Linked DNA regions of Notamacropus eugenii. The protein of the gene in region 2 interacts with the protein of the main gene of each other region in a pairwise test. Links are inferred from orthologs where the notes say so. Each region holds a gene or a part of one and is shown on either strand. Other genes may lie near its edges. The genes, in order: VDR, SRC, ESR2 and RARA.

Evidence for each region.
Region 1: the proteins of SRC (region 2) and VDR interact in a two-hybrid assay, tested with the Homo sapiens proteins (2 studies listed by BioGRID). The link is inferred for Notamacropus eugenii from reciprocal best matches to the Homo sapiens genes SRC and VDR.
Region 3: the proteins of SRC (region 2) and ESR2 interact in a two-hybrid assay, tested with the Homo sapiens proteins (2 studies listed by BioGRID). The link is inferred for Notamacropus eugenii from reciprocal best matches to the Homo sapiens genes SRC and ESR2.
Region 4: the proteins of SRC (region 2) and RARA interact in a two-hybrid assay, tested with the Homo sapiens proteins (2 studies listed by BioGRID). The link is inferred for Notamacropus eugenii from reciprocal best matches to the Homo sapiens genes SRC and RARA.

Annotation. Positions count from the first base shown.
Region 1 is NC_092874.1:219,607,357-219,614,757, reverse strand, and holds the start of VDR (vitamin D3 receptor), read left to right. Parts: upstream 1-4,394; 5' UTR 4,395-4,609; intron 4,610-5,688; 5' UTR 5,689-5,796; intron 5,797-7,401.
Region 2 is NC_092872.1:427,958,138-427,966,124, reverse strand, and holds the start of SRC (proto-oncogene tyrosine-protein kinase Src), read right to left. Parts: upstream 3,010-7,987; 5' UTR 2,979-3,009; intron 1-2,978. UniProt on the Homo sapiens protein: Non-receptor protein tyrosine kinase which is activated following engagement of many different classes of cellular receptors including immune response receptors, integrins and other adhesion receptors, receptor protein tyrosine kinases, G protein-coupled receptors as well as cytokine receptors.
Region 3 is NC_092872.1:308,278,490-308,286,442, forward strand, and holds the start of ESR2 (estrogen receptor beta), read right to left. Parts: upstream 3,007-7,953; 5' UTR 2,489-3,006; intron 2,356-2,488; 5' UTR 1,958-2,355; intron 1-1,957.
Region 4 is NC_092873.1:355,850,069-355,857,575, reverse strand, and holds the start of RARA (retinoic acid receptor alpha), read right to left. Parts: upstream 3,015-7,507; 5' UTR 2,904-3,014; coding exon 2,726-2,903; intron 1-2,725. UniProt on the Homo sapiens protein: Receptor for retinoic acid. Retinoic acid receptors bind as heterodimers to their target response elements in response to their ligands, all-trans or 9-cis retinoic acid, and regulate gene expression in various biological processes.

The DNA.
Region 1 (7,401 bases), on a different chromosome or scaffold from region 2:
CACATTTGGCTTAAGGAGGGAATAAAATGCACACTCAATTTGATATGAAAATCTATCTTACACTACAAGAAAGTAGGGGAGAAGGGGATAAGTGGAGTGTGGGGGAATGATAGAAGGGAGGGCAAATGGGAGGAGGGAGTAATTAGAAGTAAATACTTTTGGGGAGGAACAAGGTCAAAAGAGAGAATAGAATAAATGGGGGGCAGGACAGGATGGAGGGAAATATATTTAGTCTTTCACAGCATGACTATTATGGAAAACTTTTGTATGTATATATACACATGTATAGCCTATATTGAATTGCTTGCCTTCTTAGTGGGGATGGGTGGAGAGGGAGGAAGGGAGAGAAGCTGGAATTCAAAATTTTAGAAATGAATGCTGAGAATTGTTTTTGCATGTAACTGGGAAATAAATACAGGTAATGGGGTATCTATCTTGGCTTACAAAAAAAGACAGAAGATGGGGATAAGGGAAGGGAGGTATGTGATAGAAGGGAGGGCAGATTGGGGGAAGGGGTAATCAGAATGCACGTTATCTTGGGGTGGGGGGAGGAGAGAGATGGGGAGAAAATTTGGACCTCAAAATCTTGTGGAAATGAATGTTGAAAACAAAAAATTAATTAATTAATTAATTAAAAACAAAAGAGAGAAAGAATAGATCGTCGACTTGAGCAGCCAACCAAAAAACATTTAGAAAAGTAACCAAAAAAGCCTTGCAACTATACACAAAGATAAAAATTCTGAAAGTCAAAGATATAAAATTGAAAACAAAAACTCCACTGAATTGATAATAAACTAGAAAATGAGCTTTAAAAGAATGATAAAATAGATAAACTGTTGGCTGATCTGATTTTTAAGAAAAGTGGACCAAATGAAAAATATCAGTAAGAAGAAATCACAACAAATGAATAACGGAAATTATTAGAAATTATTTTGCCTAATAGTAATGGAGTGAATGGGCAGCTAGGAGTCCATGTGGATTGAGGGCTGGGCCAGAAGTCAGGAAGACTGAGTTCAAATCTGGCCTCAGGCACTTACTAGCTATGTGACCCTGGCCAAGTCACTTAACCCTGTTTGCCTCCATTTCTTCATCTGTAAAATAAGCTGGAGAAAAGAATGGCAAACCACTCCAACACCTTTGCCAAAAAAACCCTAAATGGAGTCACAAAGAGTTGGACAGGAAATGACTGAACAACAAATTGAGTCAGTATTATCTGTGATGGGGAAATGCTGTAGGGGCCTTTCCAATAAGATCATGCTTGAGGCAAAAATGTTCATTATCACCTCTGGTATTTGACCCAGTACTAGTCATTTTAGGTATATTAACAAAACAAGAAAAGAAAATTTAGGCAATGAACATAGGCAAAAAAAGCACAATAATCACCTTTTTTTCCCTTAATTTTTCGCAAGGCTGCACGCCAGACTTCTCTAGCATTCTACCTTACCAGTTACCTTCTCCTCCCTCAAACCCATTTTTCAGATTCCTTTTACCTGTTGCCTTCCACCATTAGAATGTAAGTTCCTTACGAGTGGAGACTGTTTTCTTTCTTCTTTCTATCTGCATTTCCTGTACTTAGCACAGTGCCTGGCCCAGGGTAAGTCCTTAATAAATGCTTATTGACCGATGAGTGACTGACTGCCTATGAAATGATAGTTTACTAGAGAACCTTAAAAATTCAACTAATAATTAACTGAAACAATAATTTCAGCCAAGTGGGATATACAATAAACTCACATATATCACTGGAATTTGTGTATATGAGCAACAAAACCCAAAAGAAAAAGAGAAGGAAATGAAAATTCCATTCCTAATATCTATGCATAAGATATCTGGGAGTCCACATTATCAAGAAACACACAGGGATTATGTGACTCCAAAATTCTCTATAGAGAATTCTATGAAGATTTAAAGACAAACCTAAAAACTGAAGCTCATAGTTGGATAGCGTCAATGTAATAAAAATTACATTATCTAAATTAATTTACTTATTCAGTGCCATGCTAATCAAATTTTTTATTGTTGTTGACTCTTTGTGGCCTTTGCGGGGTTTTCTTGTCAAAGATACTAGAGTGATTTAATATTTCCTTCTCCATCTCCATTTATCAATAAGGAAACTGTCTAGTAAGTGTCTGAGACCAGATTTGAACCCAGTTAGATGAGTCTTCCCGACTCCAGGCCCTGTCCTCTATCCACTGCATTATGTATCTGTCTTCAGTATCAAAATACTAAAGGGTTACTTCATAGAACTAGAAAAATCACTAACAAAATTCATTAGAAGGAAAGATCAAGAACTTCAAGGGAAATAAAAAAGTCAAAAGGAAGGGAGCCTAGCAGCACCAGATCTTAAGCCATACTAGAAAACAATAATTATGAAAATTATTTGGTATTAGTTTAAAAAAACAGGAAGACTGATTGGTCAAACATGATACACCAAATCTAGAAGCAAACAAGCATAATAACACTGTGTTTGATAAACCCCTGGACTCCAAGTTCAGGACTTGCTAGTTGGCAAAAACTGCTCTGAAAACTAAAAACTGCCCAGCAGAAATTAGATTTAGGCCAACATCTGAAATCATATACCAGTATAAATTGCAAATGGACACATAACCTAGACATAAAAGGTCACATCATAAGGAGCAAGAAAGGAGATAGTATTCACTGTTATGGATGGAAGAAGATTTCTTGAGTAAATAATGAATGGAGAAAATCACAAGAAATAAAATGAATATTTTTTATCATATGAACTTTGAAAAGCTTCTGCACAAGCAAAATCAGTGCAATTTAAATGAGAAATGAAACAGTTAACTAGTAAAAAAAAAATTTGCAGAAAATTTCCCTCATAAAGTTCTAATGTCTCAGATATATAATAAATTGATTCAAATATGGAAGAAAAAGAGCCATTCCCCAAGAGATAAGGTTATAAACAGGCAATTTCCAAAAGCAGCAACCAATAATGATATGAAAAAACATTTGATATCACTAATATGAGAAGTGAAAATTAAAATAATTCTCATTAAATCAAATTAAAATACCCCATACTCAACAGATTCACAAAGATGACTAAAAAATGAAATTGAGCATTTTTGGAGGCGATTAGACTCATTAATGCAATGTGAATTGATCCAACCATTCTGGAAAGAAATATGGAATCATAACAACAAAAAAACACTATCCATCCCCTCTGATCCAGTGATAACATTGGGAGAAGACTGAAAAATCAGAGACTGCTAATTAGGTATTTTACATTTCACTTCCTCTTGACATTGTCCAAATACCCCCCCAGGATAAGTCTTCCAGGCTCAGCCCAGTCCAGTGAAGGTCTTCTCTGACGCAGCAGCTCCTGCAGCTGCCCATCAGCTCTAACCCCGGGGGACCCAAGTCCTCCAGAGCTCTAGAACTCCCACGGTGATGGATTAGAGGTGCCCAACGGAACACACACGTTCAGGCAAGGCCAATGGATTTGTTTTTCACTGGACCATGTTTATTTGTTATAAGGGAAGGCTTTGGGAAAGAGGGAGAGTAAGAAGGAGGTTAGTGATAGCGATGGCAAAAAAAAGGTGAAGAAAGTATGAATAACATATTTTTAAAAGCACAGAAGAGAACCGAAGGAGGTTCTGGAGGAGACGTAGATAAATAGGACAGCTTTGGAACTATCGATGAAATTTGTTGCGTACTTTTAAAAAGCTATATACATACATACTCTACAAAGCTATATATATATACTTCATATATAACACATCTTCCCCCCTTGTAATATGTGGAATTGTTAGTATTCGATGGTGTTAGGATAACAAAGTTAAGTTTTAGACTAACAAGTTCAGAGTAACAAAAACACTCAATTAAAATCCTGAAGTTAAGGAGCAGCATGCTTGCGCTGGCACTTGGGCCAGCCTCCAGAGGACGGTTTACACTGTCCTTTGTTTTCCTCTCCACAGCCGGTGGAAAGAACAGATCTAACCCCCATCTTCTGCACGACGCGCGCTGACAACCTTCCCAAGGCGCAGACCCATCCAGGTGTGGCGACGCACCTGGAGAGTGCTGCGGACTGTACCACTGTGAGGTGCAGGGGGGGGAGCTGTCCACAAAGTAACACAAAAAGGCCAGAACGGGCATCTTCAGAGTCACGGTGACTGAGACGACATAATACAGAGGGGGGGACTCCGTCTTGCTCCCAAAGCTTCGGGGATGCACGGAATAGGTTCCCCCGCACCCTCCACGGGAGAGTGACTGATTCGAAACTCAAGATGGTGTCGGAGCAGATTGAGCTCAGCCTGCCCCAGCCACTGGCTGGGGAGGACTGGGACCCAGGAGCCGGGCCAAAGTGATGGGGCGGGTCCGGAGGCAGGGTCAGAGCCAGGGGGCGGGGCCAGGTGCGGGGCTGTCTCTTCTTGTCAAAAGGCAGCCTCCCAGCTTGAGCGGTTCCGATCTCCCAGCGGGCGTGTGCCGGGGCCAGGTGCGGAGCAAGGACCGGGACTGGGCTCCGAGCCGGGACCGGGACCGAGACTGGGAGCGGGTTCGCGGTGGAGATCTCGAGATCTCGGGGACCGAGGAGGAGGGGGTGTACGCCTGCCAGTGTGTGCGCCCCTGGGCCACTGAGCGAGGCTGGGAGGTGAGGGCACCGTCTGAGCGCCAGGCTGTGGTGCCACGAGTCAGGCTGGACAGCGGGCTAGCTGGGAGAAAGAACGGAGTCCTGGGAGCCTTTGCCCAGCGAGGAAGTGGACTGTAGGCTTGAACTGACTGGGCTCCCAAGTCAACAAGCGAAAAAGCGTTCGAGTTGGAATTGGGGAGGCAGCGTGGGGTGCTTTTTGGGAGAGGGTCTGAAGGAAACTGATGACTATAGGGAGTCCTAGAGTCCATCTGGGCGCTTTTGATCTTTGTCCATTCCCCCGGGGAATCTTAAGACGCGCAAGAAGGGTCTCTAAGGCTCCTATCCTGTAGAGTTTCTTAAAGTAGAAGGTTCTACAACTATCATTATTGTACGGTGCCATTTAACGAAGGACGTGCCTCCAGAGTGCGCGTGTGGTCGAGGGGATGGGGAGCTTGGGGGGGCTGTAGAACGGCTCCTTTCAGTACCTCTGGGACAGTGTCAGAGTGCGGAGGGGACTCGGGAGCTGCTTCTGAGAGAGGGAAATGAGTTGAAGTGAGAAATTTCCGTGGGCGAATGAGTGAAAGCCATTTGGGAAAGTTTCTGTGAAGGAACTGCGTGTGGGGCTTGAGGGAGTTGTGAAGAGCGGGGTCTGCCCAGGGGAGAGGGTCTAGCCCTCTGGCTAATAGAAGATCAAGGACAAGGCCCTTGATACCTGGGGAATGAGTGGGGTGGAACAGGCAGGGTGCCCCCAGCCTAGCTGGGTCTGAGCCCTTCCTGGTCCTCCTCCTCCTTTTCTCTCCTCCTCCGTGCGGTGAGTGAGTCAGCCTCCTGTCTGGGCTCAGACACAGCCAGGGGGGCTAGAGCCTGGGTTAGATCTTCTTTGAGCTTTGCGGAAACACTCTTGGGCAGAGTTCAGTTCTGCCCCCAAATCATTGTTAGGTGGCTGTCTTCCATGAGGAGGTGAGTATGGGCTAGTTAGGGCAAAGAAACAGGCATTTCTAAGGAAGCAATGGCCCTAAGGTTTTCTGGGATGTTTCTGAAAGGAGCCAGGAGTGACCACCCCCAGGTGTGACTACATGTTTTTCCCATTTTTTTCTCAGGATTTGGTGGTGGGTCCTAGTACTCCAGAGCTGTCATTGAAATGGTCCAGCTTTTTCCTGCCTACCACCTCACCCCTGAGTGATCGCTTCAGCCGATGACCTCAGCCGGTAAGTTCAAAGTGCAGAGACAAGGGCTGTGCCTTTCACCAAATGAGTTTGGAGAAGGACAAAAGAGGGGTCATGCCTTGAGCTGGAAGAAGAGATCTGGACAGCCAGGCTTCTTCACCTTTACTCAGGGCTATCCATGAGAGGGGTGGAACTGGAACCCTTTACCCTCTTTGTTGTTGTTCTCGCTGCGCAAGTGTAAGAAATGACTTATTTCTTCTGGAGGAAAAATGACAAGATTGTGATATAGTCAGATTACCCTAGAGAGAGTAGTCCTTAAATATGTTTTTGGTCTTCTTTGGTAGAAGGGGATAGAGATCCCCCTAAGGGGATAATAGGGGCATCAGAGTTTCTTCTTTGGCCCCAGACCCTGCTGCTTCCCTTTTTCAATTCATTTGAGGAGAGGCCTTAATGCCTCATTGGGCTATGCGGATGACTCAGACTGTAGAAAGTTAGGAAATTTACAATCCATGTTTCAACCAGATCTCAGGCTTATGGGTTTGGTGAGTCTTTGGGTCACTAGTGGTGTGAACTTCTGGAGGAGACAAAACTTTGAGCCCTTCCAAGCCTCTAGTCTGGGAAGAGATTAAAGGGGAGAAGGGAGAAAGTCCAGTGGGTTTACTTCATTGGGACTGGATTTAGGTTGTTCTTTATTTGTGTAAGTAATGTGCAGGATTAAGATAATTTATTTCTTGGAATATTCTCACTTTGCCTTAGGATTGCTCTTTCCTTGATATCAAATCCTTTATAAAAATAAAGTGAAACTCTTGAACTCTCCCAAAGCACAAACCCAATGCTTCTCCAGGGCTAGACGTGTAAAATTTGGAGAATGATACTGGGCCAGAACAAGATAGTTCCATCCCCCCAAGGTAGAATGGAGTAGTACGCAGTTCATTAGCTTACTATGTTCTGTCCCATATTAACCCTTAGACCTAGATACTGGCCCAGGAGAGTTCTTCTAGAACCAATTCCAACAACCTCCTAGTTTGAGCAGGCTATTAACTTGGGTCCCTCTGAGCACAGAGTCAAAGAGTTAGGGGGACCTAGAAGTCTGAGCTGGGACAACAGTCTAGCTAATAATAACACTCCATATTTATGTAGTATGTAGTATTCTACATGTTATCTCTTGTGTTCCTATGAAGTAGATAGGACAGGTATTGTTGCCCTGTTCTGCAGATAAAGAAAAAGGCTCTTTAGTGATTTGTTCCAAGTTCGGTACTTTTTCTATTATATCAAGCATATTTTTGTTCTCCTGACAGCCACAGTATGGAAGAATTATGAGGCTTTATACTTGGGCCAGAACTGAACTGGTTTCTAAAGGCAGTAGAGAGTAGAGGACATGTCCTGAGAAACCTGAGGTCAAATTTTGGACAGTTACCATGGGACCTCAGACAAGTCACTTTATCTCTCTAAACCTCAGTTTCCTTATCTATAAAGTAGGTTTAAGTTATACTAACTACCCTGGAAAGAAAAGGCTTTGTAAACCTTAAAGCAATTTCTAAATATGAATTGTTGTTTCTTCCTCGAGCAATAAAGATTACTTTTCTAGGTAGTTTTCCCACTTGCTTCACTGGCCCACTCTCTTTCCCTCCCTTTGCATAGTATACA
Region 2 (7,987 bases):
CACACACACACACACACACACACACACATACTGCCACACCCCCTCACACACAGTTTATTGCAGAAATACATCAAATTAAATTGAAAAACAAGTGAGGATAACGAGTCAGTGAATGAAGAGAGGGAGTAATAACAGGGTAGGAGTAATCACAAACCAAAGAACTTCCTGATCCTGAAGAAAGAAATGAAAGGAAGAAAAATGAAAAATACTAGACTCTGAGAGGGAAGAGTGTGCCTTAGATTATCTCTTAGACAACTAGGGGATAGCTGAACAAACTGTGGCATATTATATAATGGAATATAATTGCAACATAAAATAAGAAAAAAGAGATAATTGTGGAGAATCCTGGATAGTATGAACTGATGCACAGTGAAATGAGCAGAACCAAGAGAACAATTTACACAAGGATAGCAGCATTATAAAGAAAAACAACTCTGAAAGACCTAAGAATTCTGATCAATTCAATGACTTCTTTAGAGGACCTATGATAAACCATGCTAGCCATATCCTGAAAGAAAGGTGATAGAAGCAAGAAACAGAAAGAGAAATACATTGTTATTACATGGACTTCATATGGATTCATTTGACTTTACTATGCATATTTATAACATGGGTTTTTCCCCCTTCTTTCTTGAGGTTTCTAATGGGGAGGAGCATTGAAGATGAAGCAATAGTGATTTTCAAAACAGACAGCTGCAACAATGTTTTAAATGCACGGAAGATTATGGAAGGAAGTTCAGGAAGCAATATAGATAATCAGGACAGTTTTGACATAATGTGAGAATTAATTACATATGTATTTTAAAAGAACATGGTATGAAATGGTGATTTGTGATACAGAATCAACTTTTTTGCTGTTTGAGTTAAGAATAAAAACAAAATGTTTTTAAAATTTTAAAGAATTTAAATTTAAGAAGTAAAAAGAAAACATCTCTCCAAAAGAAAAAAAAAATCCTTTGATTCCAAAGAATTACCAGTGATTGGCAGCAAGGGCAATTACTGTTAGCCCTAACAGCTATCTGTTCAATGTCTTTATTTATTTTATTTTATTATTTTTTAACTGAATTATTTTATTTGTTTTCAGTGTTTGACAATCACTTCCATATATCTTAGATTTTCTTCCACTTCTTCCGCTTCATTCCCCCCTTCCTCCCCACACCCTCCCTGAGATGGTATACAATCTTATACAGGTTCTACACGTACATTCCTATTAAATGCATGTTGCATAGAAGAATTAAAATGAATGGGAGAAACCATAAAACAAAACAAAACACAATACAAAAGAAAACGATCTGTTTCTATCTGAGATCCAATTCCATAGTTCTTTCTCTGGATGTGGAAGGCATTTTGCTTCAAGACACCACTGCAAATTTTTTAAGTCTGTGCATTTTAATGAAATACTACGTCTACCAAAAAAATTCCTCACACACTGTGGTTATTGCTGTGCTCTTTTCACTCAGCATCAGTTCATATAAGTCCTTCCAGGCCTCTCTGAAGTCTTCCTGTTCATCATTTCTCACAGCACAATAGTATTCCATTACATTCATATACTACAGCTTGTTCAGCCATTCCCCAATTGATGGGCATCCCCTTGATTTCCAGTTTTTGGCCACCACAAAGAGTGCTGCTATAAATATTTTTGTACATGTGGGACCCTTTCCCATTTATATGATCTCTTTGGGATACAGTCCCAGAAGCGATATTGCTGGGTCAAAGGGTATAAACATTTTTGTAGCCCTTTGGGCATAGTTCCAAATTGCTCTCCAGAATGGTTGGATCAGCTCACAGCTCCACCAACAATGAATTAGTGTTCCAACTCTCCCACATCTTCTCCAACATTTATCATCTTCCTGTTTTGTCGTGTTAGCCAATCTGATAGGTATGATGTGGCAACTCAGAGTCGTTTTGATTTACTTCTCTCTAATCAACAGTGATTTAGAGCATTTTTTTATATAATTATAGATACCTTTAATTTCTTCCTCTGAAAATTCCCTGTTCATATCCTTTGACCATTCATCAACTGGGGAATGCAATGTCTAATTATTATGGGATTCTTTAGGGATAAATGGATATACTGTAATCTTTCATGTGTTCTGACTGTTCTCTTCCCTCAAAACTTCTCTAATTTTTCTATAAGCAGAGGTGGCAGCTACCAGTGTATTAAAATCTAACTTAAAAATATATCCAAAAAAAAGTCCAAAAGAGGGAACCACTCTCCCATCCAAGTGTACAGGAGCAGTCAGGGACTGACCCTGACAAAATTTCTTGATTCAGGAATTTAAACCAGAAACATGAATAAAGAGAAGAAGGCTCTAAACAATAAAGAAATCTTAGGATACAATGATGTCCAGGACATAATCAAATAAAGTATGATTTGGTTACAAAGTCTCTAAACATGCCCATCAACAAAAGAAAGAAAAAAACAGAACAATGAATTTGGTATGCAATTTAAAAAACTAGAAAAGCATTACAAAAAAAAGAACTAAACACAGAAACAGAAATTTGGAAAGTCAAAGGAGATTAACAAAATTGAAGGCAAAAAAAAAATAACTGATAATTAAAAGTAGTAGCTTATTTTAAAAAATATCATAGTTTAAGTTAATTAATATGAGTTTTTAAAAAAGGAGTGTACAATCAAATTGTCAGTATGTATCAAAATCTAAAAAGCAAAATTCATAATATAGGTAAAATAAAGGAAATTATGAAAATGATTATGCCAATTATATGCCAACAGAATGGATAACTTAGATGCTATGAAAGAATACTTATAAAAGTATTATATATCTAGATTGATGCAACAAAAATAGATAATTTTAATAACATAATTTCAGTTAAAAAAAAACTTTTTAGTGCTATAAATAAAAAGAAAGAATATCCAGGACCAAATTGCTTTTAAATTGAATTTTGTCAAATATTCAAAAAACAATTAATTTCAATATTATGTAAACTATTCACAAAAGTGGAAAAAGATATCTTACCAAAAATATTCTATGATATAAACGTAGTCTTGGTACCTAAACGAGGGAGAAAAAAAGCAGAGAAAGTAAATTATAGACCAGCATGACTTATGAATATTGATGAAAAATCATTAAATAAAATATCAGCACAGAGGCTACAACAAAACATTTTTGGAGCTGTGAAATGGCACAACCATGTTAAAAAGCAATTTGGAATTCTGCAAATAAAGTGACTTAAAAGTCCATATGCTCTGAATCAGAGACACCATTATTAGGCTTATACCCTAAGGAAGTTATAGTGTAAGGGGACCAGAGGGTCCCAGGGGGTGCAAGTCAGAGGCAAAGCCTGTTCCCGTGGGAACGGTGCTGACGCACACCCTGGCAGAAGCTCTGTGTGACCCTGGAACCTGATGTTCCTGCAGACACTGATGTCCTGTACAGTAAAGTTACAAGTGAGCCTGGGAACCCAGGAACTAGCTGCAGGAACAAGATAAGCTTCCTTACTTACTGGGGATGTAAGGATGTGGAATAGTCATGAGAAGGTGAAGTAATGGGATGAGCTCAGCATGTATGTGATTGGTGGATCAGCCTTTATAAACCCTAACCCTCAGCTGAATAAAGGGTTGTTGCTTGGATCATCTTGTCTCCAGTCTTCTTCCTTCAGGGCCCACAGATTAGAGGCCCGTGGGTCAGGGGGATCCAGGGGGCTTGGGCCCTGACCCCGAGCATTATAGCAGTACTTTTTGTGATGGCAAAGAACTGGAAACAAAGTAGATATCCATCAACTGAGGAATGGCTAACAAGTTATGGTACATGAATGTAATGAAATATTTATTACAGTAAATGAATGTGCTATAAGAAATTATGTATTTCTGATAAATACAGAAAAGCATGGAAAAGATTTATATGAAGTGATACAGAAATAAATCCACATAAATTATCAGGTTTTCTATATAGTACCAATAAAACCTAGTGAAGACAGAGAAATTCCATTCAAAATAACTAAAGAACATATAAAATACTGGGAATCCAGGTAACAAGATACTCACAAGAATTCTATGAATGCAACTACAAAGTACCCCATACAGAAATAATTGAAGAAATATTCATTTCTCATGGTTAAGTTGTGCCAATGTAAAAATGACAATCTTTCATAAATTTGTTTAATGCTATGCCAAACTAGTAAAGGATTACTTTTTAAGAGTTAAAATATAAAAAAAAAAAACAACCAAAAAACAAAAGGTTAAGAATCTCAAAGGAAAATGAAAAAGAGGTGAGAAGGAAAGGGTCCTAGTAGTACCAGATCACAAACTATATTACAAAAAAGTAAATATTAAATCTAATTGGTATTGGTTTTAAAATAGAGAAAAATCAATGGGAAGAGCAGGTTAACTACACAACATGTAGAAGAAAATGAACATAGTTGTTTAATGTTCAATAATACCAATTATTAGGGTAAGGGCTCACTATTCAACAAAAATGGAAAAGCAGTCTGACAAATTAAGATTAGAACAGCATCTCATACCACACACCAAGATAAGTTCCAAACAGATACATAATTTAGACATAAAAGGTCACATCATAAACAAAAACAGAGGACCAGGAAAGGAAATACTTCTGGACAAGTTAATGTTCCCTCTTTTAGCCTCAGTTTCCCTATCAGTAAAACAAGGAAAATTGGACTTAAGGTGATCCCTATCTCTCACTCCACTTCTCCACTCACTTCTAAACTCTCTGCAATCTGGATTCTTACCTAATAACTCAACTAAAACCTTTCCAAAAGTACCTATGATTTAATTGCCAAATCTAAAGGCCTCTCTTCAATTCTTCTTGACCTCTCTTCATCATTTTCTACTGTTCATCACTTTCTCTTCCATGATATTCTTTCTTCTGTAGGTTTTTGTGACCCTCATCTTTTGTGGTTCCTTTCCTGTCTGACTGACTATTCCTTTGTCAATTTTCCCTCTAGCTCACACAAGCGCTGATTTAGAATTGGGAGAGACCTTTGAGACCCTTGAATTTTATAAATTTTACAGATGAAGAAATTGGGGTCCAGAGAGAATAAGTAATTTGCCCAAGTTCACACAACAACAAGTAGTCTATTTGCCCTGCACTGCCCTGGGCCCTCTTTTCTTTTCCCTCTATACTGTCTTACTTGGTAATCTCATCAACTTCCCAGGGTTCAGTGATCATTTGTATGCAGATGATTCCAGTCTCTCTCCTGAACTCATCTCTCCCTGCATCACCAACTGGGTTTAAGACATTTTGAAATCAATTTTCTTTTAGGCACCTCAAACTCATTATATTCAAAAGAGAACTCGTTATCTCTTCCCTCAAACTGTCCTCTCTTCTGAACTTCACTATTTCTATTAAGGGCACAACCATCCTCCTGGGTACCCAGGACTGCAGCCTTGTTATCTCTGCCTCCTCACCTTCACTCACTCCACATATCCAATTTGTTGTTAAATCTTATCATTCAACCGTCAAAACATCTTATATATGTCCCCTTCTCTCCACTCACATACTCATCCCCATGGTTCAGGTCCTTACTACCTCTCACACACACTAACTGTTCTCCCTACCTCAAATCTCTCCTCACTCCAATCCATCCTCAACTCACTTTCCAAAATGATTTTCTTAAAGCTCAAGGTCTGACCATGGAAGGCCCTCCCCTCACTTCCATCCCCATATATAAAGTCCTCTCTTTGGCATTTAAAGCTTTTCACAAGCAGCTCTGCTGGCCTTTCCAAGCTTCTTATACTTTGCCCTCCACTCTAGGATACAGCTGCCTACTTGCTATTGTGTGATCCTGGGCAAGTCATTTATTCTCTTTGGGTCCCACTTTCCTCATCTGTTAAATTTATAAAACTCAATGGCCTGAAAGGTCCCTTCCAATTGTAAATTAATTCTTTTATAATCCAGACATAGAATATACCATCTCCTATCTTTCTGCTTTTCCTTTGGCTTTCCTCCATGTCTAGCATGCTCTCCCTCCCCACCTCTGTGCTTTGGTTTTCCTTGGCTTCCTTCAAGACTCAGCTCAAATGTCACCTAAAAGAGGCCTTTCAGTTGGAACCAAGACAGTGGAGTGAGAGCAACTACTCACCTAAGCTCTAAGATAAATTCCTTCAGATACCTCTAAAAAGAGAATCTGAACAAATTTTAGAGTGGCAGAATCCAATAGGAGACAGAGTATGGCAGATTTCTGTAATAGTAATTTAAATGGAAAGATCTTTCTCGTTAATTAATAGGCCCATGTGATCTACTTAAATTGCCTGGAAGCCTGGGCCACATGTGGTGGGAGGAGCTTGCTGAAGAGGTGGAACAGGAAGGGTGGAGCAGAACCAGGAGGAAGTGAGTGAGTAGGGTCAGGTAAGAGGGGAAAGAACACAAGCCAACGGATACAAGCCAACTGACACAGGCCCAACTGACATATTGTGACAGTTGATAGTGAGAAGGCCCTGGCTGAGGCAGAGGAAGTTTAAGAATGGCTTTGCCCTAGGCTATGATCATGTTAATTAATTTCTTGGTCACCATGATGGATTTTCCTTTCTGGTTATGGAATTTGGCTTTCTGGTTTTTCTTCTGCCTTCTATATGGAGAATCTTTTACGTTTTGTGATTGAGAACTATGCTGACATATTCACAGTCACCACCAGTGCTTTGAATATTGCCTTGGCAATACAATTTCTAACCCAAGACAGACTGGAAGGTCAATGGGAAGGATATATTGCACGAGGCTGGAGGGGCACACAGTGCACAGGCTGTACCAGCATGGACACTGCCATAGCAAAGCTGAGGAGGAAGCCCCGGGCAGTCTGAAGCAGCAGCAGGAGCACTGTGGTATCTCAAACCTATCAGCCCAAGGTGGGGAGTCCAGTAGCACTAAGTGAGAGAGAACTGCAGAACTCCAGGTAACTGCACTAGCTGCTTCTGAGACTATCTGACCGTAGATTAAATGTCTGTAAGTCACTTACTTGAACTTCTGAGAGCCAAGATGGCAGAGTGATCGATAAATGCTCTACCCCTGCCCTTGCTGACCTTGAAAAACCCAGAGAATATTTCCCCAGCAAAAATCCTGGAACAGTGAGATCAGCCAAACAGTCTCTTAGCCTGTGAGGCTAGGAAAATCGCAAAGGGGGGTCCTTCTTGCTGTGCCTGAAAGAAATCAGTGCAAGATTGAAGCTGTCCTAGGCAGCAGCACCCCAGTGAACTGGGAGGAGATCCTGAGCTCCAGTGGGTTGGAGCCTGTAATCACCAACACTAGGACCCCAGGTGTGCCTCAGCACAGCTAGAGGAATTGGAAAGACACTAGTGCAAATGGGGTCCACCAACTACTGAGCCTGCCTGTGCTCAGGAGAGAAGACTTCCTGTGACCAGAACACCCCTTCCCCACACTTAACGCAGCTAGCTCCAGAGTTAACTCCAGGGAAACTCAGAAAGACTTCACCTGGCCTCTGCTTTGACACACCAGCCAGCTCAGCACCAGGTAAGCTACAGCATTCTAGTTTCTAACTGAAAGAACCAGAGGCCACAATACACAAAGTCTCAAATTCTAAGCACAAGAACCATGAGACAGAGCCCCCTGTACCCCAGAAACAGAGATACATTTTAAAAGCCAGGAAAAGGGTGATCATTGTGAGCAAAAAGGAAACCAGAAAAGATAATACCATAGAATCTTTCTATGAGGACAAGGACCAAAACACAAATACCAAAGAGGTCAGCATTGAGACTGTACTCCCATGTGAAACTTCAGAAGGGAATATGAACTGGTCTCTAGCCCAAAGAGCATTCTTAGAAAAGCTCAAGAAGGATTTTAAATGTCAAATTAGGGATGTAGAAGAAAAACTTGCCAATGATTTTTAAAATATGATATGAGAAATCCCTGAAGAATTTAAAAGGAAAATGGGAGTAATAAAAAAGGAAGCACAAACCTAACTGGGAAAACTGGACAAATGGAAAAGGAAGTACAAAACCAAAGTGCAAAAAATAACTCCTTCAAAGGAACAACTGAACAGATGGAAAAGGAGA
Region 3 (7,953 bases), about 120 Mb from region 2:
CTGTACATGAAAATAACTTGGATTTGCAGAAATACTAGAAACAAACAAATCAGTTAAAATAAAAACATAATGCATTGTTTTAAACTGTACATAAAATCCCCCAAATCTGTGTTTCTTACAATGGCCTCTAGTTCTGAAAGTACCACTCGGAAGTCCAAGCATTAACACAGTGAATGAAATTAGGCTAAAAGGAATAAAAAGTGTGATTAATAGGAATAAAATTATATATATGTATTTTATACTTAAGTCATTTCAAAACATATACATCATTTATTTTAACCTTGTGGTTCTCCACTAAAAGTTGCCATTTTTCAACCACTGTCTGCTCTCTACCATGCAACTAAATACAGCTTCAGGCAGCCTTCTTTATATCAAATGGTATGAAATTAAGGTTAAAATGCCAGGATTGCAGTGGGATTATAGAACTCAGGGAACAACAAAAGGCATAATATTTTAACTCAGGGAAGCTAATGATTTAAACAAAAGCAACTTAATTTAATGAGTAATTAAAAATTAATGTCCTAATGGGAATTTTCAACTAATGCTAGGTGTCATTTCCCTATAATGTTATTAATAGCTTAAACATTTTCCCAAAGTCCATAACTTTAAACATTAATGGCTAAAACATTTTCTCAAAATTCATAATACTAAAGCCTAAAATGTCACATTCAACAAAAATGAAGCGTTTTCTCTTATGGACAGAAGCAGCACAAAATATGAGCCCAGGATAAGTGAAATAAAGCTCTGAAGGGCAGACATTTCTCCTAACTAAAAGTACCCCTCAGAGCCAAATCCAAAGGCTTGTTGTATTCGTAACACTTGTTGATGCACTAAATATATAACTTCCCCCTTCCTTCCAGCAACTAGATTCTAAAACAACACAAACTTTTCTCCGAAAAAAGGCAAGATAATGACCACAAAGATTAGTTTCTTTATAACCAAAGTACACTTATAAGATAGAATATTTTTAAGTGCTTAAGTGTGGTAAGTGCTGATAAGAAAAAAGACTATCCCTAATCAAAGTATATGAGTTCAATGAATATGTAGTTAACCTTTACGATCAAATCAAGCATTCCCTTCACTACTCCTATTCTCATCTCATGTGTACAGGGCAAAAACAGACATTTAAAGATAGTTAGCAAGATAATTAATTTCTCCAAAAGAAATCTTTTCAGGTTGCTAAATAAGACCCTGAGATACACATATCTATGTATCTACATGAATAGATAGTTATAGACGGACATAAACTCAAGGGGTGATATTATTCAGTAGCAAGGTAAATAAAGTTTCATTTTAAAAAAGTACACCATTTGACTGTCCTGAACTATGATTTCCTCCTGTCAAAAAAGAAACCATTACAAACCTCACTTTCATTTCCCAAAAAATAAAATATTTTCACCTGAATGACATTCTCATTCTATCAATTTCAGTTTGCCAGTAAGAAATAGACCACTGATAAATCCCTATTTCTTTAAAGCTTGTCTTCCTTCTCAACCAATAAAACAGCCACATCTTGCCCAAACCTCTCAGACTAAAGTCCATCTACCCTTGAACAGGAAATATCACTAATTGATTTAATTCAGCTAGAACAACTACCATCTGACCAGTCACCCCACCACAAATCTCCCCATCCCCAGAGAAAAATATTGTGTTGCATTCTTTTTTTTTTTTCAAATTTAAATCAAGTGGAGAATCCCTGAAGAAGATACTTTAGAAGGAAAAACCAGAAGGAAATTTTAAAAATTCTTGTGTACAAATCAACACAAAAGTGTTTCTATTTCACAGATGGCACATACCAGTAGAAGAGATTAACTTTCCTCTGCCATAAACGCAGCAGTTATTAGTTTCCTAAATTTTTTTGTTTGTTTGCTGCTCTCTAGATGCTAGTGCCTCTGCACTCCTGAATTTCAAAAAATTAATCCAAGCAATTAGATTCTGAATCAACTGTTGTACCTACCTGCAGGGAAACAATCCGTTTCTTCAGAACAATCTGGCCAGACTAAGCATGCACATGGTTATCTTGCAAGAATTCTCAATGCTCTAGGAATCCCAGTCTCCCCAAAGCTGGCTTTTAGCTTCAGGAGGGATCCCTCGCAGCTACTAAGACTGTAGGACGCATCCAATCCCCACAAGCACAAGCTAGTCAGTGACCGTTTTTACTGGGCAAGAAGATACCAAGTCATCAGTACGAGTCTATTACACCTACAGCGGACCCTCTTGCTGTCTGTTTTCCAAGGGAGGAAGGTAGAGTTTCTTCCTCCTCCTTCCTGACACAAGTTTCAAAGCAACGCGTTTTCAGGAAAGGCAGCTTTCGTTTTCTCGAGCATCAAGTGGTTAAAAAAAAGTCAAAAAAGCCTAAGAAAAACGAAATCACAAATAATTCACCAGCTGTTGTTCATGTCCCCTCTCCCCTCACCCTTTCCTCTTTCCCTTTGCAAATAATCGCAATGGGGAATTGAAGCTGACGCCCCCAAATGAGTAAGCCCACCTTTCTCTCCAGAAACACTTTGCTTCTTTTTTCCTCCAGCTTGGGCAGGACTCTAAAGAGCCGGCATCATCCTTTGGGGGACCCTAGGACAGCTCAGCTGCTCCCCTAGCCACTTCCAATAGTCTTAGGGGGACCCTAAGACCAGTAGTCTTATTCGGATCCTTCCAAGACTATTGGAGGTAGCTGGGGAGCAACTGAGATTTGTGAACCACATCTGTGCCAGGAATCAATGCAGGTTTCTGGCTCCTGGTGTTATAAGCATTTCCCAAGAAACCATAGTTCCCTGCAATAAAAAACAGGCGGGATGGTCCGTGCTTCTGAAGATACAACATACACTTGAAGGGGTTGAAGCTGAGTCCAGCTCTCAGGCACCTGAAGCACAGGTTAAGAAAGGAGCAGGGGAGCATGGTGCTTGCTCCACTAATCAGTTACAGGAGTCTCAAAGATCAGACCAGCCATTCCAGACTGCAGCTGGATAAGGCAGTAGTACAGCTGATTCTATTGGGAGTTGAGACGCCAGAAGCTGCCCCAGCCCCAATTGCTTATGAAGGAATTCTCTTCTCAGCCTCAGGACCCTCCAGTGTGGAAGCTGCTGCCCCCTTGTGGCATTTTAGATCCCTCCTTCTCCCACCCCTCATAAAACAGAATTTGTTCATTGAGTGTGGGTGGAGAAGAAAGGTGGCAATGAGTGTCTCAGATCCAACTAACCAAGTCTGTTTAGGGGATAGGGCTAAAATACTTCACTCCATTAATCATATATTGCTAGAAGAGACCTTGAGGTTACTCAGTTCAACAACTTTGTGTTTACAGACAAAGAAACTGAGTCCCAGATAGGTTAGGTGACTTGCCCAAGCTGATACAGATAACAGATCTAAGAATCAGATTCAGGTACTTCTCTTCCAGAGGTAAGTTCTTTCAGGAGTAGCTAGCTGGCAGCTAGGAGTGGTGAGCCTGGAGTCAGACAGATTCATCTTCCTGAGTTCAAATCTGACTTCAGATCTTTACTTGCTGTGGGACCCTGGGCAAGTCCTTGAACCCTATCTACCTCAGTTTCCTCATCTGTAAAATGAGCTGGAGAAGGAAATGGCAAACCACTCTAATATCTTTGCCAAGAAAAACACAGGCGGGGCCATGAAGAGTCAGGCACGACTGAACAACAACAAAAGTGTTCTTTTCACTATAGTTTGAAAGAATATGGTTGTATGTGTTCATTCAAAAGCAAATGACAAGGAACTATGGAAAGAGCCTTGGATTTGTAGAGAGAATCTGAATTTAAACTCAGTTCTTCTATGTTACCATGGACAAGTCAATTAACCTCCTTGAGCCTCAATTTTCTTATCTATAAAAAATGACAGGGTTGAACTAAATGATTTTGATGGTCCTTTGTAGCTCTAAATCTGTGCACACTTCTATGCATGGTATAAGTGGTGATGCGATAAGGGTGCGATCCCAAGCACTTTTGTGAAGGAAGGACAAATGTTCCCAAGCATAAATGTCAGAAGGCATCAGACCTGTGGTCCATCTATTTATAATCCAATACTGCCTCTTCCAAAGAGACAAACAGCTGTTTAGAAGTTGTCCTCTGTGATACCAGCCACAGCAATGTGAAAGAAAGGAGTCAGTCCTGGGCCTGGAATCAGGATACCTGACTTCACTGTCTATTTGCTGCTCAGAATAAAATCAACCTGACTTGCCCAGAAAAAATTCTACTAATTGATGCAGTTTGAAACTGCTATCATCTGCTTCCTACATACAGGCTCCCCTACTTTGTGATATCTAAAAGAGATCCCTTTTCAGGTCTCAACTTCTCCATTGCAAAATGAAAGGAATCATAGGTTCCTTGTAGCATCTGATCCTAAGACATTAAGTATCTAACCTAAAGCAACCTAATTTCCCTTAATAGTGTAATATAGAACTATTATTTATGAATCTCTAAGTTCTTATCTTAAACATATAATTTTAGAAAAAATCATCCATCTCTTGATGTACATTTTTCAATTAGTTTTAATTTCCTAGTTAGCACAGAGAAATCCTTCCTTGCCTTTGATTCATTTCTGAGTTCCAACTATGTTCAGGGTAGGGTTACTGTTCTCAAAGTGCTTACAGGCTAGTAATGAAGATAAATTAGAATAGAATAGAATAGAATTCAGTGAATAGAATTCAGTGAATATATGAACAAGGCACAAAGTATTATGAGAAGGTAAAGGAGGGACTGGAAAGTTAGAGGTTATAGAGGTGACAGGGAGGACTTCATAGAAGGTGTGGCCTTTTGAGATGGAACTTGAAGAATGTGATAGCATTTGAAAAAGGGATGCCATGAGAAACGTTCACTGGGGCAGCAAAACACAGAACTTCTTTGGACAATGAGGGGTCTGTTTTGGCTGAAACAAAAGGTATACATGTGGGAGTAATATAAACCTGGAAAGATAGGTTAGACCAGAGGATAGAGGACCTTCAGTGATGAGGTTAGGAGACTTAGGCTTGTTAGGTAACAATAGTTAGCTATTGATTTTTTTTTGTTACTTTATTTTGAAAGGTTATATGACATATTAGAAAGAATATCGACCTGGAGTCAGAAGACCTGGTTTTAATTCCTGACACTTACCCTTTGAGGTTACTAGATGACTCAGTAGATAGAGCTCTGGGCTTTGAATCAGACAGACTCATTTTTATGAGCTCATATCTGACTCCAGACACTTAGCTGTGTGACCCTGGAGTGTTAAGTCACTTAACCCTCTTTGTCTCAGTTTCTTATCTGTAAAATGAGCTGGAGAAGAAAATGACAAACCACTCCACTATCTTTGCCAAGAAAACACCAAACAGGTTCATGAAGTATTGGACACAACTGAACAAAAACTTATCCTTTCACAGTCTCAGTTTCCTTATCTCTAAAATGGGAATAATTCTTATACTACCCACCTTATAGCATTGTTATGAAGAAAGCTTTTGCAAAACTTAAGCAGCCTATAAATATAATTTTTTGCTGGGGGGTAGGAGAGTATCATGATCAGTGTGTTGTAGGTAACATATTGAGTATAAAATTTTCAGCATTTACACCTTAGAAATCAGTAAGTGCTACAAATCAGGGCTAGATTTGTTGTTTTGTTGCTCGTCTAGACTTAGGAAACTGATGAAGAAAATGTTAGTAATACAAATTAATCTTAAAAGTATATTCTGTGCATTGTTTTCATTTGTTTGTTTTTGGAGAGCCAGTTGTTAAACATTTGCCAGCATACTCTTGCTCAGATATGTGTGTGTGTATATATACACACACACACACACACACACACACACACACACACACATATATGTATGGATAGACAGACAGACAGACAGACAGACAGACAGACAGACAGACAGACAGACAGATAGATAGATAGATAGATAGATAGATAGATAGATAGATAGATAGATAGATAGATAGATAGATATAGATATTCTAGATTACAGGGGACAAGAACCTGAGGCAGGGAGAAATAAAAGATAATGAGGATCTGAATTAAGGTGATGGGAGTGGAAGTAGACATAGAGAGACATGAAATAATAACTCCTAGATTTCTCTATTGAGTAACTTAGAGAAAGGTATCTTTAACATAATTGGGTGTTTGACCTAATTTATTTTTAAGAGCATCAAGTGGTAACCTCTAGTTCTAGTAGTTTAAGATTTGGTAAACAAAGTCTACACTTACCCTATTTATATTCTTTTTGTATTTTTTGTATTTTTTTATTTTATTTTTTTTTATTTTTTGCGTTTTTTTTATTATTTTTTAATGTTTAACAATCATTGCCATACAATTGAGATTTTATCCCCCCCACACCTACTCCCCACTACCCCCCTCCCTCCCCACGACTGCATACAATTCTGTATAGGTTCTACATATACTTTCCTATTGAGTACATTTTCACTATAGTCATGCTATGTAGTCGGACTAAAATAAATGGAAGAAATCATATAACAAATCAAAACGATACACAAAAACATACACATACACAAACATGATCTTCTACATTCTGCGAATGACTTCCATATTTCTTTCTCTGAGTGTGGAAGGCATTTTGCCTTAGAGAACCACCATTGGGATTTTTTTTTTTTTTAAGAAGTTCTTGCCTTATTACGAAATTCCAAGTCTACCAGAAAAAACTCTCGCACACTGTGGTTGTTGCTGTGCACAAAGTTCTCCTGGTTCTGCTCCTTCCACTCAGCATCAGGTCATATAAGTCCTTCCAGGCCTCTCTGAAGTCTTCTTGTTCATCATTTCTTATGGCACAATAGTACTCCATTACATTCATATACCATAATTTATTCAGCCATTCCCCAATTGATGGACATCCCCTTGACTTCCAGTTTTTGGCAACTACGAAGAGTGCTGCTATAAATATTTTTGTACATGTGGGACCCTCTCCCATTTTTATGATCTCTTGGGGATACAGTCCTAGTAGCGATATTGCTGGGTCAAAGGGTATGCACATTTTTGTAGCCCTTTGGGCATAGTTCCAAATTGCTCTCCAGAATGGTTGGATGCGCTCGCAGCTCCACCAACAATGAATTAGTGTTCCAACTCTCCCACATCCTCTCCAGCATTTATCATTTTCTTGTTCTGTCATGTTTGCCAATCTTATAGGTGTGATGTGGTACCTCAGAGTTGTTTTGATTTGCATCTCTCTAATCAATAGTGATTTAGAGCATTTTTTCATATGATTATAGATATCTTTAATTTCTTCTTCCGAAAATTGCCTGTTCATATCCTTTGACCATTTATCAATTGGGGAACCTATTTATATTCTTTATAATTTTAAAGACAAGAAGAATGACAAGTCCTAAGTGGCCAAGAAAGTATGTGGAGAAGTAATATAAGGCATCTAGCAGGTAAAAAAAAGGTAACTTGGGGAGGAACACATCCTAGGCAATGGAAAACTCTCAAATTTGTGTACACATGAGGATGGAACTATCAACAACCCACTTACCCCTTTCTTGCTACCTTTTCACTTCTGGCTCCTCATGGCACTAATAACAGCACAGGTTTAAATAGAGAATGGGCTGGGAGTGCTGGCACCTCATCTGTGCTCTCCTATGAAGCAGTGTCATATGGGAGAAAGAGCACTGGCCTCATTAGAAGACCCATCTTCAATCTGTGGGTCTGTCACTCACTAGTTCTGAGACCTTAGATGGGTTACTTAATGTGTCTGAGTCTCATTTACTTATCTGTTAAATAGAAATAATGCCTGCTCTGTTCTGCCCCATAGAACCCTGAGGAGTTAATGCATTTAGCAAATATAGCACCTAGTATTATATAAAGCTCTTTGTAAACATAAACTACATACATTACATTGAAAAATATTAGCTATTATGAACAAAATAAGAAAACCAAAGTGTAATAGAAAGACTGTTGGATTTGAAGTCAGAAAACTGGATTCAAATTCCAGCTGAATTTGTCATTGGTCAAGTCATTAGTTCTATGTAAGCC
Region 4 (7,507 bases), on a different chromosome or scaffold from region 2:
TGCAGGGGGGGAGGAGGCTCCTGGGAAAAAATAAGAGCAGTGGCGGGGGAACAGGAAAGGGTATTGCCCAAGTATGGGTGAGGGGACCCTACCAGGAAATTACAAATCCACACCTCTTTCTTCCCACTCACCCCCTCTCCCCTGCACCCAGGGGAAATGGTTCCCAGGGTGGGGAGTACATCGGGGATCCCGGAAGCCACCCCCTAGTGCACATCAAGAAAGAGGAACCAGCTTACAACATTCCTGGGTAAGGGGGAAACCTCTTCCCAGGCTGGCATGGGAGTGGTCATGGGGTAAGGGAGGCAAAGGCTAGGCAGAATGTCCTTCTCTAGTGCCAGCCAAAGACTCACATTCCCCCATTATGCAGTGTCCCAGGATTTGGGCCACTAGTTTTCTGCACATCCCATTCTAGAAAAAAGTGTGCCCCCCAGACACTTGGGCACACGCCCCACTGTCCAATGGAAGTGCCAACCTGGCAAGAACAGGAAGCCTTACAATTTCAGCTCCTAGAATGGGGGCAGTGCCAACTTAAGGAGGAATCAGTCCAGTCCCCCCTCTCAGCCCCACCTCCAAAGGCCTTAACCACTCAGGACAAACACCAGACATTCAGATAAAGCATATGGGCTGCAAGAGTAGGTGAGATGCAAAATAAAAGAGCTCTCTCCCCAATTGGGGTTGAGCTTTAAAGCTTCCATACAGAGCAAAGTGTACAGAGTGAAAACAAGACAGGAGACAATGAGATGGGAGAAGGGACTGAAGGGAGAAGGGAGACTTTGGGGCACGGGGGCGGATATCCAGAGTGGCATTCAGGAAACTTTCTGAGCAGGACCTGGGTTATCCCTCTGGGGACCAAGAAGTAGTCCCTCCCCCAAGCTGAAAACACCAATAGTAAAGTGGGAAGGGGGCACCAGAATGGCAGATACATTTGTCCATTTCAAATTGATTTAACAACAAGCATTTATTAAATGTCTACTATGTACAAGATACCTGAAAGTTCCCTGGCTGTGGGGGGAAGTCAGGAAGGAGAATGACACAGAGACAGAGGAGGAACTCTAGGGAAGGTCAGATGCTGTGGGCAACTGGCCAGAGCAAGTAGGGTGGCACCATTCCAGGGTCAACTTCAGGGACAATGAGACTGCCCTGACCCTAGGAAGGCGAGTACTGCCCTAATCCAGAGAAGGGAGCATTGACCCAGGGCAGGGAGCAGAGAGCAGTGTTGCCAGGTGCCCCACTGGTGCCAACAGGAGAAGCAGTGGGTGTCTGTGGCAGTGTTCATCCTGGGCAGGCCAGGGAAAAGGCATGTGGGATGGAGGGAGGAGGGAGAACAGGACATTTCCCAGGTCAACAGCTGCCCTGTCCATCCATCTCCCAGCCTCTGTTCCCTCTTCTCCCCGCCCGGCCAGGCCCCAGATCCCTCCCCCTCCTGACTTGGCACTGTGCCCAGCTCGGCCCTAGGGGCCAGAGTTACAGTAAGAGGCCTGGCAGGCCTCTGGTCTGAGCTATGCCAGCTGGCAGCCACTACTGCCACCTCCCACTACCTGGCTTCAGACAGGCCAGGGGTGGAAGAGACGCCCACCTAGCCCGTGCAAAACTCTCATGGGAAAGATAGAGAGGAAGGGGGAAATGGGGGAAAAAAATCAGAGACAGAGCAAAAGGGAAGAGGGAGGGGCCTATGTCTTTTCCTTGCAGCCCAGCTCCCACCCATGACCAAGGCAGAGCTTTCCTCCCTGCCCCCGCCCTCATGCTGTCCCCAGAGCTCCTTCCCTCCATTGCCTAGCTCACCTCAATTCTCACCAGGTTTATACCCACCACCTCCCTCCCTTCACGCTCCACTCAAATAGGGGAATTAGTAGCAAGGTATGTATGTAGGGGAAGCGCGCTGTGCTGGCCTTCCTCCTACACCCTTTAGGTACCCTCATAAAAAGACACCTGGTACAGGGGACCCTGAGGGTAAGGATGAGGGAGGAGGGCATGTGGCTGCCTCTCCAGGTCACAATACTGTTCCCGCCAAATGTCGAGAGGTTTGTTTATCTACCAGGGGCCTTTGTCTGCTGCCAACCAAGCTATTTATAAGATCCTCAGTGAGGTGGAAGGAGGGAAAGCCGGGCCGAGAACGCAACACAAATGGCCCTAACCTTTCTGCAGCCCTCCAGCCTAGCACATACTTTGGCAGAGTCCAGCAACCCAAATTATAATAGAGGTTCCTTTCCCATCCCTAGATGGGGCCCCTGCAAGCTTCGAAGGACATTCCCTGTAAAACAGGCAACAGTAATAAACAGTATTCATATAGTGTTTCGAAGTTTGCAGAACACTTTCCACATCTGATCTCACTGGAATCTCACAATAGCCCTGTGAGGTCAGTGCTATTATTCTTCCCATTTTACAGATAAGGAAACTGAGGCTGAGAGAGGTTTAAGTACTTTCCTAAGGTCACACAGCGAGTGTCTATGGCAGGATTTCAACTTGAGTTTTTTCTGATGCCAAATCCAGAGCTCTATCCAGTGTACCCCTTAGCTCCCCCAACAGCTACGTCCGTTATTAGCCACTCTTTCTTTGTCACTCCCTGACTGACACCCCATCCTTCCCAGTGTTTTTATATAACAAAACCACCACAAACCATCCCCTCACAGAGCTCTGATGATAAACCACCAGGTTCTCCTGTGATATCTGAGCCCTCAATCCCACCCATCCCCACCCCTCATTCCCACTCTGTGGCACAACTTACTGGCTGGTGACGGAGTGCTGTACCCACTGACAGGAAGCTGGTGCTGGATACTTGTCAGGGTGCCAGGTGGAGAAAGTCCGCCCAGCATGGGAGGGAAGAAGAAGGCATAGTGAGGCACTGGGTACCCATTAAGGTGCCCACTCCCAGGCGTTGGGCATGAGCTGCTATTGCTGGCCATGCCCTGATGACAGTCAAAGATACAGACAGAGAGTCCAGTTGGGAAGGTTTGAGGGGCTTCTCAATGCCCCTTCTCAGCTCATTGGGGCCTGGAGTTGGGAGGGGTTGTGGGTGATCAACCCACCCCCTCTTCCTGTCCTGCAGCTGAAGAGGGCAGTACCCCACAGGGTGATCTTGGCCTTCTGGAGCCACCGCCCAAACCAGGGGCAAGGTGGCAAAGGGAGGGGAGGGCGCTGCTCAGGTCGGCTGCTATGATAAGCTGGAATGAGGCTTGGAAAGCTGAGGTAGCCTCCTGAATGGCACCCACCACGGCTGGCTGTTAGGCAGAGTATCGAGCGAGGTATCCTCACCTAGATGAACTCTGATGACGCTGGTGCTGCTGGGGAAGCCATGTCTTCTGATGCTGAAAAGGAGAAGACAAGACAGGTGAGTAGGCACAGAGAACAGGGCACAGGGGTTTTCTCTACGGGGCTCCCCCCACCTGGGCAGCTGGAGGTTTTCCCGTGACACCAGGCTAAGCAGACAGATGGCACAGTGCCTGCCTGGCACAGACAACTTGGGAGTGGGGCCCAGACACTGCAGAGGAAGAGGTGAGGGTGAGAACATTCGCACAAAGAGCAGAACTTAAACCTTTAGGAGACACCTCTCACCCTAATGTGGCCAAAAGGCCTGTTGTGCCTTGAAGGCGGGGTCCCTGGAGATCAGCAGGGGACATGAGGGAAACACAGCTGGACCTAGAGATCTCCCCAAAGAAGGGTTACCTAAGGTCACAGATGTAGAGAAAGCGTGGGGATGGTGGAGGTAACCGAGGGAGGGGAAGGGGAGAGAAGCTGCTTCCCTAAAGCATGGTACTTCTCAGAATCGTGACGCAGCAACCCTAGGGGCCTCTTACACCACTTCCCCCACCCCAGCCCCAAAATCCAGGGACCTAACACCCTGCATGGGTGGGGATAGGGTGGGGATGAGGATGTTTAGCCTGGAGAAGAGGAAGATGCAGGTGGGCCACAGAGCCGTCTTCAAATATTTGAAGGCTGGTGTGTAGAAGGGGGGTCATGTTTGTTGTCCTTAGCCCCAGAGGCAAGAACCAGGAGCAATGGGTGGAAATTGCCAAGAAGCCAACACAGGCTTGATGAAAAAAAAACATGCTAACAATTAAGGATGCCCAGGAGAAGAATGGGTCACCTAGGAAAGGTAAGTATCTCCTCACTTGAAGTCCTCAAGCACTGACTGAAGGGAGCCAAGGGATTTACTGGTATATATTTTTACATGGGAATCAGGCTAAAGGGCTATCGAGGTCCCTTCCAATTGTAAAATTCTATGATTCTGGGGTCATTTTGACATTCCCTGCCCCAAACCTTAAGTGAGTACAATGGAAGCAGAGGCTTTCTGTGTTTTTAGCTTCACTCTTTCACTTTTACAGATGAGAAAACTGAGGCCTGGGGCTGGCAAATAAGTTGTCCACAGTCACACAACTTGTAAATGACAAAGCCAGAACTTGTGCCTGGGTGTTCTGATTATAAGTCCAGTCTTTACCCTTCCTCACATGTTAAGAAAGGTCACAGGGGCAGCTAGATGGCATAGTAGATGGACCACCAGCAGCCCTGTAGTCAGGAGGACCTGAGTTCAAATCCAGCCTCAGACATTTACTAGCTGTGTGACCCTGGGCAAGTTACTTAACTCCAACTTCGAAGGAAGGAAGGAAGGTCACAAAGACAGAGGGAGTCAGAGAGATGGAGAGAAAAGAGACAAAAGGAGAGAGATAAAGAGAAACACATTAGGACAGCCATCAAAGGCCACACCAGGGCATGTGCAAAGAACAGTCTGTAGGAGCAGGTCTACAACCCCAGTGAACAAGGGGATAAGCTACATTATACCTTGGGGAGCAAAGGGTACTGATGCAGTACCACCAAGCCCAAATACCAAGCTAAGTAATGCCTACCTGCCAGGGATGCCATTGGCAACTCTTCCCCCTCACTGTCCACTGTCCCAGCTGAATAATGCAGGGTAGAGTGGTAGTGAGAGCCAAGTAGACATTAGGAAGAGACAGGCAGAAGTGGGGAAGTGAGGAGGTGGGGGATGGATGTCACAACTGAAATTAAGGTAAACTGAGGCACAAAGTATCAAGTTCACAATTCAATTTATTGGTAAGGTGGGGCTGCTAGGTGTCTCGGTGTATGGGGCACCAGTCTTAGAATTAGGTATCAGGAGGACCTGAGTTCAAGGCTGGCCTCAGATACTTATGAACCATGTGGCAAGTTACTTAACCCCAACTGCCTTCCCCCCCTACAAAAAAATTTATTGGTAAGGCTAGCAATTACCATTAAAAGGGTCTTTCAGCTCCTCAGTAAGCAAAAAAGCCCCTGGGAAAGGGGGAGAAAAGGAGGAGGAAGAGAGAAATGTAGCCTTTTGTCCCCTCTACCTGGGGATAGAGTTTGCTTCCCTAGCTTATTAATTACCATGATTATTAATTTTGACCACAGAAACACACTTCCAGGTCTCTGATGAAGTCCTCCCAGGCCAGTAAAGGAGGGTGACATCAGAGGCCCAGGGAGCCCCACCCAGTCAGCAGCCAATCTGCCACACCCAGGACCTCTATGGAAGTTCTCCAGATGGGTAAGCTTCACCAATGACAGGAGACAGTGACCCAGAACCTCAGGCAGACAGAGAGTCATGTGTTTGGGTGGGAAAAATGAAATCATGTTCGTATACACTCAGCCCAAACTGCTCTTTTGTGTTCTTTTACTTCACTGTTTTCAAAGATTTTAGTTGTGGGGATTCAGTTAGGAGAAGGCTAGGGATCTGTATGATGTTTCAAAAATAAAATTTATTAATACAAATTTTTGTTAAAAACAAACACATTCACTTCCAAGAGAATGGTGTGTGTGTGTGTGTGTGTGTGTGTGTGTGTGTGTGTGTGTGTGTGTGTGTGTGTAGCTAGGAGGTAACTATTGCTATGCCATACAATGAACACAATTATTTACTTCTGTCTATACACCCAGACATACAACCCCACATGGACATGGACACACACACACACACACACACACACACACACACACACACACACGAGTTTATTCCACTTTAGATTCTCCCAGCTCTCTACCACCAGCCTGGACCTTCCAACTGCCTCTTCTGCCAAGAGAGGTCCTAAAAGCCCCTCTCCCTTAAGTCCAGCCATCCCACCACACACACTGATGATCACACAAACTTAGGCATAGCCTACCCTCCCTAAGGCCTGGAAAATGGTCACTCTCTCAAGGCCTGAGCTCAGCCTCCACAGATAAGCTCAGGCTAAGACAACTAAGGGAGGGGCTCTCTGACAAAGGGGAATCCTACTACACCCTGTCTTATCCAACTTAGCTTATTCTGAGCTTATCATTTGCTGGCATCACCTCTCCATCTTAGGCCCCCATATCTCCAGTAAGCTCTCAAACACAGGACATTCCAGTAGCTGTGTACCCCACATATCCAGCTAGACAGATCTCAATTCAAAAGGTACCCTCTGGGCCCAACCTGGACTCAGCTCTCAGAGATCCCATAACCACTCCCAAGGGGGAGACCCCAAGCCACCTTGAACTTCACCACTAGGTACTGCCCAGGTATTAGAGGCATCCCCCTTACTCTCATGTAGAAGGAATAGAGCCTGTGTTCAGCCCACAGTTTCTCCTTCCCGCCAACCCAACCACCTCCATGTCAGGACTGACAGCCTGTCTCCAACACAACTTGGCCTATGATATAAAGTCTGGAGCAAAGTTACTTAAAGTTCTCAAGGGAGGGACTTCCAGCCAAGGGGAGGAGGAAGCAATAGAGGCAGGGATAAAGGTCACAGAGATCTTGTCAAAAGCCTAGGTAAGACCAACTAAACAGGGTTGGGCAGAGGGGTGGAGATGGAGGTAGGAGGACCTGACAAGGCGACACACAGAGTACCTGAGAGTCCAGGAAGGGCAGTGAGTGTGTGTGTATGTGTATGTGTGTGTGTGTGTGTGTGTGTTTGTGTGTATTCACTCACTAGGTCCTACAACTCCACCCCACCTCATCCTAGAAGCATGGCATCACCTCTTTCTCCTGGGGTAAGAAGGGCATCTTCAGAGAATCAAGGCCCAACACAGGCAGAGAAGGGAAACAAGACACCCACATCCAATTCACTCCTATACTTCGTAGGCTACCCACAGGGTACCTTCCTCCCCCTCAATGTGGGCAGCAGGGGCGGGAAAACCACAAGCCCACAGTGCCAGGATATCCTGAACCCTTCTTGTGCCCCACCTGGCAGTGGCAAATAAGAGGGAGGAGACACAGGGGGCAGTGTCAAGGGGATTTCAGAGAATCGGCAGGCACAAGAATAGTTTGCTATGTCATCTACTCCTGTAGAGTCAACCCCATGGACCTCCTCTCCCTTTGACTTCCTTCTCATGTTTTAGCCCCACACAACAGGTTCCTCACAGGATGTTCACCTCCTCTAAGGCTGAGAGGATTGAACTGATTTGAGCTGTACCCTCCTTGCTTCCACTCAAAAACTCAGCGGCCTGGGACTCCTCTCTCCTGTATCTTCCCATGACTCCCACCAGTAGGCTTATATTTGGTTTACTAGAGTGATATAAGGACTTT